Saccharomyces cerevisiae S288C: one gene and its partner. Changing the gene in region 2 together with the main gene of any one other region gives a genetic interaction. Each region holds a gene or a part of one and is shown on either strand. Other genes may lie near its edges.

Region 1 (3,639 bases), on a different chromosome or scaffold from region 2:
TAGGTATTCTTGGATGAGTCTTTATAACTGTTTGCTCCTTGAATTTGTCTTCATTGCCGAAATGATAGTCTTGGCTTTCTGAATATTGATATGTTCCTAGTGAACCATTACCTGTACGGGCATCCCAAAGTAAGGCACGTGGTGCATATGAAATTGTTTTTGAAACTTTATCTACAACCGAATTCAGAAAAATTTTGGAGTCATTGACTTGTTGTTCTTTAGACAATTGTAAATAGCCCTCTTGTATATTGAAGAATTGAGTAGTCAAATGGTTTGCTCTCTGCGAAACCGATATCGTTACTACTTCATGCATTTTTTATTCTTGTCTGCCAATTATATATGTAATTTTAACAATTAACCCTCTTCTTCCAAGGTTTTAATTCATCGCATCGATTATATTTTGTTCCATTCGAAATTTTCCATTTTAAGTTTGGCGAAGCTTTTCACGTTTTCATTCAGAAATAATGATGTCGAACATCAAAAAAAAAAATTATCAGGTTACACATCTAAAAAGTTGACTTATTTACAAACTAATTCGCGCGAAAGGTTGTGGCTATGGGTTCGCAATTAGGATCTGGGAGTTGAACATTTTCCAAGTCAGGTTTTAAGCCCTTTACAGTAATTTCGTCGTGAAATATTTTCAAAAATCTGCATAAGGGTTCTGCGTACCACCTTCTGCCGGATCTGTCTTTGAACCATCCAACATGCCCCCCCGTCGAAGTTTCTAGAAGCAAAGTGTATGGATTGGATTTTATTTGGTCTATAGGAAGATCACCTCCGACAATTGGGTCATCCTGAGCATGCAAAGCTATAAAAGGAGTTCTGATCCCGGGTATTCTTTTATATGATGAAGCATTCTTGTAATACTCCTCTGCATTTTTATATCCAAACATTGGGCCTGTCAACAAGTTATCAAATTGCCTCACAGTGCGAATCTTTTTTAAATGCTTCTCGATAACATCTTTGAAATCAGGGTTTTCTTCCAGAGTAGAGAGATGGTTTCGAACCATGCGTAGTAAGTTGTGACCCAAAGCAGGTGAATAAAATCGTGACCCCATTGGTGTACTGTTAATAAAATATGCAGAGTTGTACAGGTCAAATGGATTACTCACGGAAATAGCACATTCGATTTTAGTACGATCTGACTCTTCTCCCAAGTAATTTGTCATTATAGATGCGCCTAACGAAAATCCCATCATATAAAACTTTCTATTCGGAAATCTTTTCCTCAAGTCATTAACACAATATCTTATATCATTGGTCCAACCACCGTTGTATAATAGCGGCGTTGTAATTGCAGAATAACAACATCCTCTAGCATTAAACACGCATGCTTCAAAGTCATACTTCGTGGTGATTTCATGAACAATTGCCCTCACGTAGCTTTCCCTCGAACCCCCTGTTAATCCATGGAGAATAATAAGCATAGGCTTAGCATCGTCTGAGTTCAATTTAGGATCATCAGGGGAATAGTACGAATATCTTCGTTTCAAGTTTCCGTTAAATACCGGTTGACTTGTCGGCACGTATTCTTTTTCCACTTTTCTTCTTTTGGTACTTCTACCATTTACAGCAAAATCCACAGTCCCTTCTCCCCCATGTGGGTATTTGATTATCATTCTTTTATATTGAACTTTGTATATATTGTCAAAGTGTCTAAAGGAACCATATGCAGTTTGTAAATGGCCATTGACCAGTAAACCATATAAAGTGTCAGTAGCACCGTCAGCTAATTCAGGAACTTTAGTATCTATTAGCTCAGGGATGGTGATCTCTTTATTTTCATTCTCTCGTTTATCGGTGGACTTGAATGCAATAGGATCCTCAGGGACCTCTTGATGAACAATCAAAAAATTAGGTAACAATTCTTTTAGACGCATATCGTCTCTGGAAGTTTACCAGCGTTTGTATAATACAGTTTTAAAATAACAAAGTAGTTGGTTTTTATCGAACTTCAAATAATTGAGACCCTTTTAAGATCCACAATACTTTTCGGGGTTAGGTAAGAAGACCCGTAAAAAAAAAAAAACGTAAACGATGCTGTACAATTAACAAATTTTTCAGGAAATAGAAGAGGTAAAAATATTGATATACGAAGTTGAGGAGCGCCAATGGTTAGCTCACTGGCATCAAATATAATTCTAGCCCTTGTGGTAGTCCTGATGACACTGCTAAGGCAAAATAAGCCGTTGCAGAGGTGGTTTGTATCATATGTTGAAAAGCTATTATCAAGAAAATCAAATCTGGCCCAAAAAGTCAGCGTTTTATCGCCCTCCTTAAAATTGGTTGATGTTGAGAAATCAATATCTGCCGATCAATCGAATCTTTCTAAAATTAATTATCAGATTCCCACTCTTCCTGATCTTACGGGGAATTTAATCCGTTTACATGAGTATCGAGCAAGAGGAGAAGGCTATAATGGCCTTTTATTTCGGAGAGCAAGACAATTAAATGGAATTTCAGAAGATCAGTTGCAAAAATTAGGCTACTTCACCAAATTAATGAAAAATAATGAGGGTATCCGAGAAAACGCAAGAGTTATTGACAAGATAATTGAGTTCACTTTAGGGAAATTGATTCATTCCAACGAACACGATGAAGAATTTACAGAGGAAATTGAAAAGATATGCGCGGAACACGGCTATAAGATTAAAGATGGTCACCTTATTCAATTGAATCCTGACTTCGTATTTCCAATAGTTTCGTCTCGAGGCAGCCAAAGTGTGGTCCATGAAGCATTAGCACATTTGTGTCGTGATTTCAGCTCTTACTATAGTGTGGAAAGAGATCCTTTACAAAATTTTATCATTAGTAGAATCAACCATCATGTGATTAGTGCCGGGGACATGAAAGAGAAAATTCTTATCGTGACCCCAGGGGCTGGTGTGGGTGGCCTATCCCATACTCTTGCCACCACTTTCCCCAAAATACAGGTGGACTCCATCGAATTATCAGCCTTGATGTACATATGTAACCTATTTGCACTCGAATATAAGCATGACGTTAAGATACGTCCTTTTGTACAACAATATTCATGCCAGACAGTGTTTGATAATCAGTTGAGAAGTTTATCGGCAGATTTGAGCAAAGTTGGCCACCGCAGTAATCTGGACCCACTATGGGGGGACTTCACACGATATTCTCCCATTTCCAAAGACTATGATAAAATTATCATTTGTAGCGCATATTTCATAGATACCGCGGAAAATATGTTTGAATATCTATCCAGTATTGAAGCACTAAAGAAATACTGTAAAGAGCTGCATTGGGTCAATGTAGGTCCATTAAAGTATGGCACCAAACCCTTGGTCCAATTTACAGGAGATGAATTAAGTCGGCTGCGTAAAATTCGCGGGTGGAAGGACCTTGTGGAGGAATATGAAGTTGATAGCTCAAAGGGATTGAATGGCTATTTAACTGATTATGAGTCAATGTATCAAGGATACTATGGTCTGCTTAAATTTCATTCTGTCTTCGAAAGCTGAATTGATACTACGAAAAATTTTTTTTTGTTTCTCTTTCTATCTTTATTACATAAAACTTCATACACAGTTAAGATTAAAAACAACTAATAAATAATGCCTATCGCAAATTAGCTTATGAAGTCCATGGTAAATTCGTGTTTCCTGGCAATAATAG
Region 2 (4,231 bases):
TATGCGCTGTTACAGCAGGTAGCGGAGTTTTCAGTTCTTTCCCTAGTATGTAGTATGAAGGATAATACGGTAAAAGAACGGGGCTCTTGATTCATCATATAAATTTATTTTCCCCTGTTGAAACCTCGAGTAACCGTCCTCACTGTTTTATTACCAAGGATGAGCTCGAGCAGTTGTAAGAGAGAAGTGGGCAGAAAAGTATAAGTAACAAGAAACGATATACAAGTTCTTGTTGTTAGGCGTAGCAACCCTTTCTCCCCTGGTTTGATCCTACTTAAAATAAAGAAAAAAAACAAAAACGTCATGATGATTTTGATATTATTAGACATACGTAATTTAGTTGAATTAAAGGAATAACAGGCAGCCCTATTAACCACGGACAAAATATCTCTGCATATGATTGCATTATTTGTAAACTATGAATGAACATATGAACGAAAACGATTAATATTAATATTAAAATTTGAAATGGTGCAATGCTGAACATTGCAAGTATGCGAAAATAGTTGATCCTACACTACAAGAGATTATTTTTCTTTAGTGAACATCCTTTTATAAAATGGTCTCGGATCATTTCTAGTAGCGTCTAGGTCATAATCTGTTGTTCTCCTAGATGGTGGGATCCATTTGGTAGACTTCCAAGGTAGCACATTTTCTTCATACATTTCGTTGACTTCTTCTAATGTTAAGCCCTTTGTCTCTGGAACAAAGAAGAACACATAAAAGTATGCGAACACCATACAACCCATAAAGACATAGCCATAATAGAAATTGATTGCTGAAGTAATAAATGGAGTGAAAAAACTGATCAAGAACCCCCAAATCCAGTTACAGGCACTTGCAATCGACATTGCTTTACCACGTACTCTTAAGGGATACGACTCAGAGATAAGGACATAGGCAACGGGGGCCCAAGTGGTAGCGAAACAGAAAATGTAGAAACATGCGAAAACAATCATACAGTTACCAGCACCCTTTGAAGATGGTTGATCTTGACCGTTTGGCCATAATCTGGTAACACCAACAGAGGCATAGACGACATAGCAACAAATCATACCTACACAGCCCCATAACAAACAATTACGACGACCAAAACGATCGACGGTATATAGCGAGAAAAAAGTCGAAACAAAATTAACAACACCCAAAACAATAGCAGTTTCAAATGAATCTTCCAAACCAACAGCCTGGAAAATTGTAGTACCATAGTAAAAGAAGTAATTGTCACCTGTCAGCTGTTGTAAAGATTGAATCATCATACCCATTAGTGTACGTCTGAACATCTGGGGCTTACCAGTAACCAATTCCCCCCAAGAAGCAGAGCCCGCCAATCTCTCAGCTTCAATAGAAGACTGATAGTTCTCCATTTCTAAAGTTACTAAAGGAGAGTCTTCAGTGGTTTTGTTAGCTCTTGCTAAGGACCGCTTGGCCTCTTCAATTTTTCCCACTTCTACCAGATAACGTGGGGATTCAGGAACGAACGTCATACCAACAATCATAAAAATAGACCATGCAAAGCATAAGCCTAATGGTACCCTCCATTGGACAGAGTTTGAGTAATTCTTGGTACCAAAATTAGTACAATATCCCAAAAAGATACCGAAAGTGATCATTAATTGGTAACATGAAACCAGAGTACCACGCAACTGCTTAGGCGACACTTCAGAAATTAGCATAGGCGCCAAAACTGTAATACCACCAACGCCCAGTCCTGAGATGATTCTTCCAATGAAATATTGATACCATTTGTCAATGGAGGCGATTTGGATGATGATCCCAATTGAGTAAATGACGACAACAGTCATCAGACCAATCTTACGTCCATACATATCACCGAGCTTTGACAAAACTATACCTCCGATAGCGCAGCCGATGTTGAAAATAGAAACCATCAAACCGGTTCTGACATCGGAAAGATAGGTAGTCCCGTTTGCACGGGTGCTGCCAAATCGCCTAATGAAGTCTGTTTGCCTGACAAAACCAGATATAGTACCAGTATCCCACCCAAACACGAACCCACCAAAAGCAACCATCAAACAGCAGACGGATACAAATAGTAAATCCGACTTCGATTTCTTCTCTAGTTGTTTGTCAACCTCCTTCTGAAGCTCTTCCAGTTCGTCTTTGGGAGGGCCTTCATGGGAAATGTAACTTGAGACGGGTTTAGCTTGTGCCAAATTATCGTTGTAACCGGCGGTACCAGGAGCAGTCGAGTTTCCTGACTTCTCGTTGTATGAGTTAGAATTTGTGCTCACAGTAGCAGACCCTTCCAAGGGGCCTTGATGAGCGTTTTCAAGTTCCGACATTCTTTCTTTACCTCTAATATATTCTTTTTTCTAGAAAAATAATATTTTTTGCTGGTTTTAACAAAGCTATGAAGTAAAATTGCAAAGTGAAAGCGAATCTTGTTTGCGTATATTATATATAGAAAAATTATTCAATCGACTTTTCTCTTTCTTTTGATAGTTTCTTATTCTTAGAGGGAGAACCGTTCGACTAGCATGAAAAGAAAAGAGAGAGACTCTTTTATACGTGAAATCAAAAAGAAACCAAACTTGAGGTACTCTACTAATGATTCTGGCCCTCCTTTCTTGTTTACTCCGTGCCCCTAAAACTAATTAACCCATGCCCATATATTCATCCACACGACCATTAATATTGAACATAAAGATATCATTTCACCAAGCAGTACTTCACTCAATAACAAGGTGTGAAATCCGGTATATTATTCCATCGCTATGAGTGCGGGATCAGAAAGTGAATTACTTACTGTCCCCTAATGTGCACAGCCACGGGGAATGCGGATCAACTGCAGAGAAAAGGGCGCACAGAGTTAGAATGCATCCCTTAATCCGGGAAGTAACAGTAACACGTCATGCGGATGTTTCTTCGGTGGGTATGGGTCACAATTTCGTCCACCAGTACATCACAGCATGCTCTCATTTCTTTACTTTTTGCTAGCAGATGATTACTTTCATTTCGGGTGGGATGGGCCACCTTTTTAGTTTATCCTCCGGGATGCCTTAAACAAGAAAATGGAACAGTGGGGATAAGACCCATAAAAAATCCGAAGTGATAAGTATTGATTGGTATATTCCCGTATCGGAGACCTTAACATAACATAGTGTAGTGATTTTGCGTATAGAAAAGTAACCAATAAAATAAGGTAAATATTGCTATATGAATGTAATAAATAAAATAATATATGGGCGCAACAAAAAGAACGCAAGAAAGAAGCATTGATCAGTGCTTTTTACTAGTTTTCAAGCTTTTCACCCTCCTTAATAGCTTGTTGCCGGTGTTTTCCTTTTTAACAACATCTTCGTGACCGCTTCCTTGGGTGGCAGTGACCGGAACAGAAGTTCTATTATCGTCTACGTCCTTTTGCTCCAAGTGTCCACTATGTGTTTTCACTAGCTTTAAATTGTTGTTGTTCACTTGTAGATGTCTTCTTGAGGGGAGAGACTTTTTTCTTGCTATGCTGTTTTTCCTACGAGATTCTTGTGCGTGGTTGATAACATCTTGCTCTATGGCAGCGGAAGACGCTGGTGCGCCATCCAGGAACGTCGTTGAGCCTAGACCCATCGTAATGGGCCCATGGACTAGTTCAGTTTTCATTTTGGAATCGAACTGGGTAATATTTTTTGAATTCGGTTTAATCGCATCCAAAGTCGTAGTACTGGAATTGGCCTTATTGAATAAATATGCTCTATCTTGTAGTTGGTTCAGCGTCTCAGAATCGTCGTCTACTGTTTCCCTACCAAACACCTCATCTAAGGTAGACTTCTTACTTGTGCGGCCGCCTACTGTATTATTTGGACCATCTGCTGGGAAGGCCAGTACAGGCGCCACTTTATTATTCTTATTTCTCTGTGGAGTGCATGCATCAAAGGGGCCGTCATGATGGAAAGATCCGCCAAATAATCCTGTAACATCCATCTTGTCAATAGTGTCTACATTTTTAGGGGGCTTAACCTTGGTTCTGCTTTTGCTCTTCTGCTTATCTTTGTCCCTATGTCCGTGTGATGTACGACGATGGTGGTGGTGGTTGTGTTGGTGACTATTTGAACCACTACTGCGTTTCTTTTCTTTTGGGTATGGAGCTTGCTGTTTCGGTGTCCCCGCAGCTTCTTCATATGATGGGAGTCTTTCTTGTCTAGAATTGGAAACGCTACTGTTATGGGCCCTCCTAGTGTCATCTTCATTTAAAAATGGGTTACTGCAATAATTA

What was found. A genetic interaction does not mean that the proteins touch.
Region 1: mutations in HXT5 (region 2) and MGL2 together harm fitness more than expected from each alone (negative genetic interaction), as found in Saccharomyces cerevisiae (2 studies listed by BioGRID).

What each region holds. Positions count from the first base shown.
Region 1 is NC_001145.3:685,757-689,395, reverse strand, and holds MGL2 (putative carboxylic ester hydrolase), read right to left. Parts: upstream 1,881-3,639; coding exon 531-1,880; downstream 1-530. Other genes in the region: DML1 (Dml1p), read right to left, coding at 1-313; YMR209C (uncharacterized protein), read left to right, coding at 2,112-3,485; ERG12 (mevalonate kinase), read right to left, coding at 3,598-3,639. UniProt on the Saccharomyces cerevisiae protein: Converts monoacylglycerides (MAG) to free fatty acids and glycerol. Has a preference for palmitoyl-MAG. Does not play a significant role in ethyl ester biosynthesis. Also possesses ester hydrolase and low but persistent TAG lipase activity.
Region 2 is NC_001140.6:294,142-298,372, forward strand, and holds HXT5 (hexose transporter HXT5), read right to left. Parts: upstream 2,307-4,231; coding exon 528-2,306; downstream 1-527. Other genes in the region: PAL2 (Pal2p), read right to left, coding at 3,244-4,219.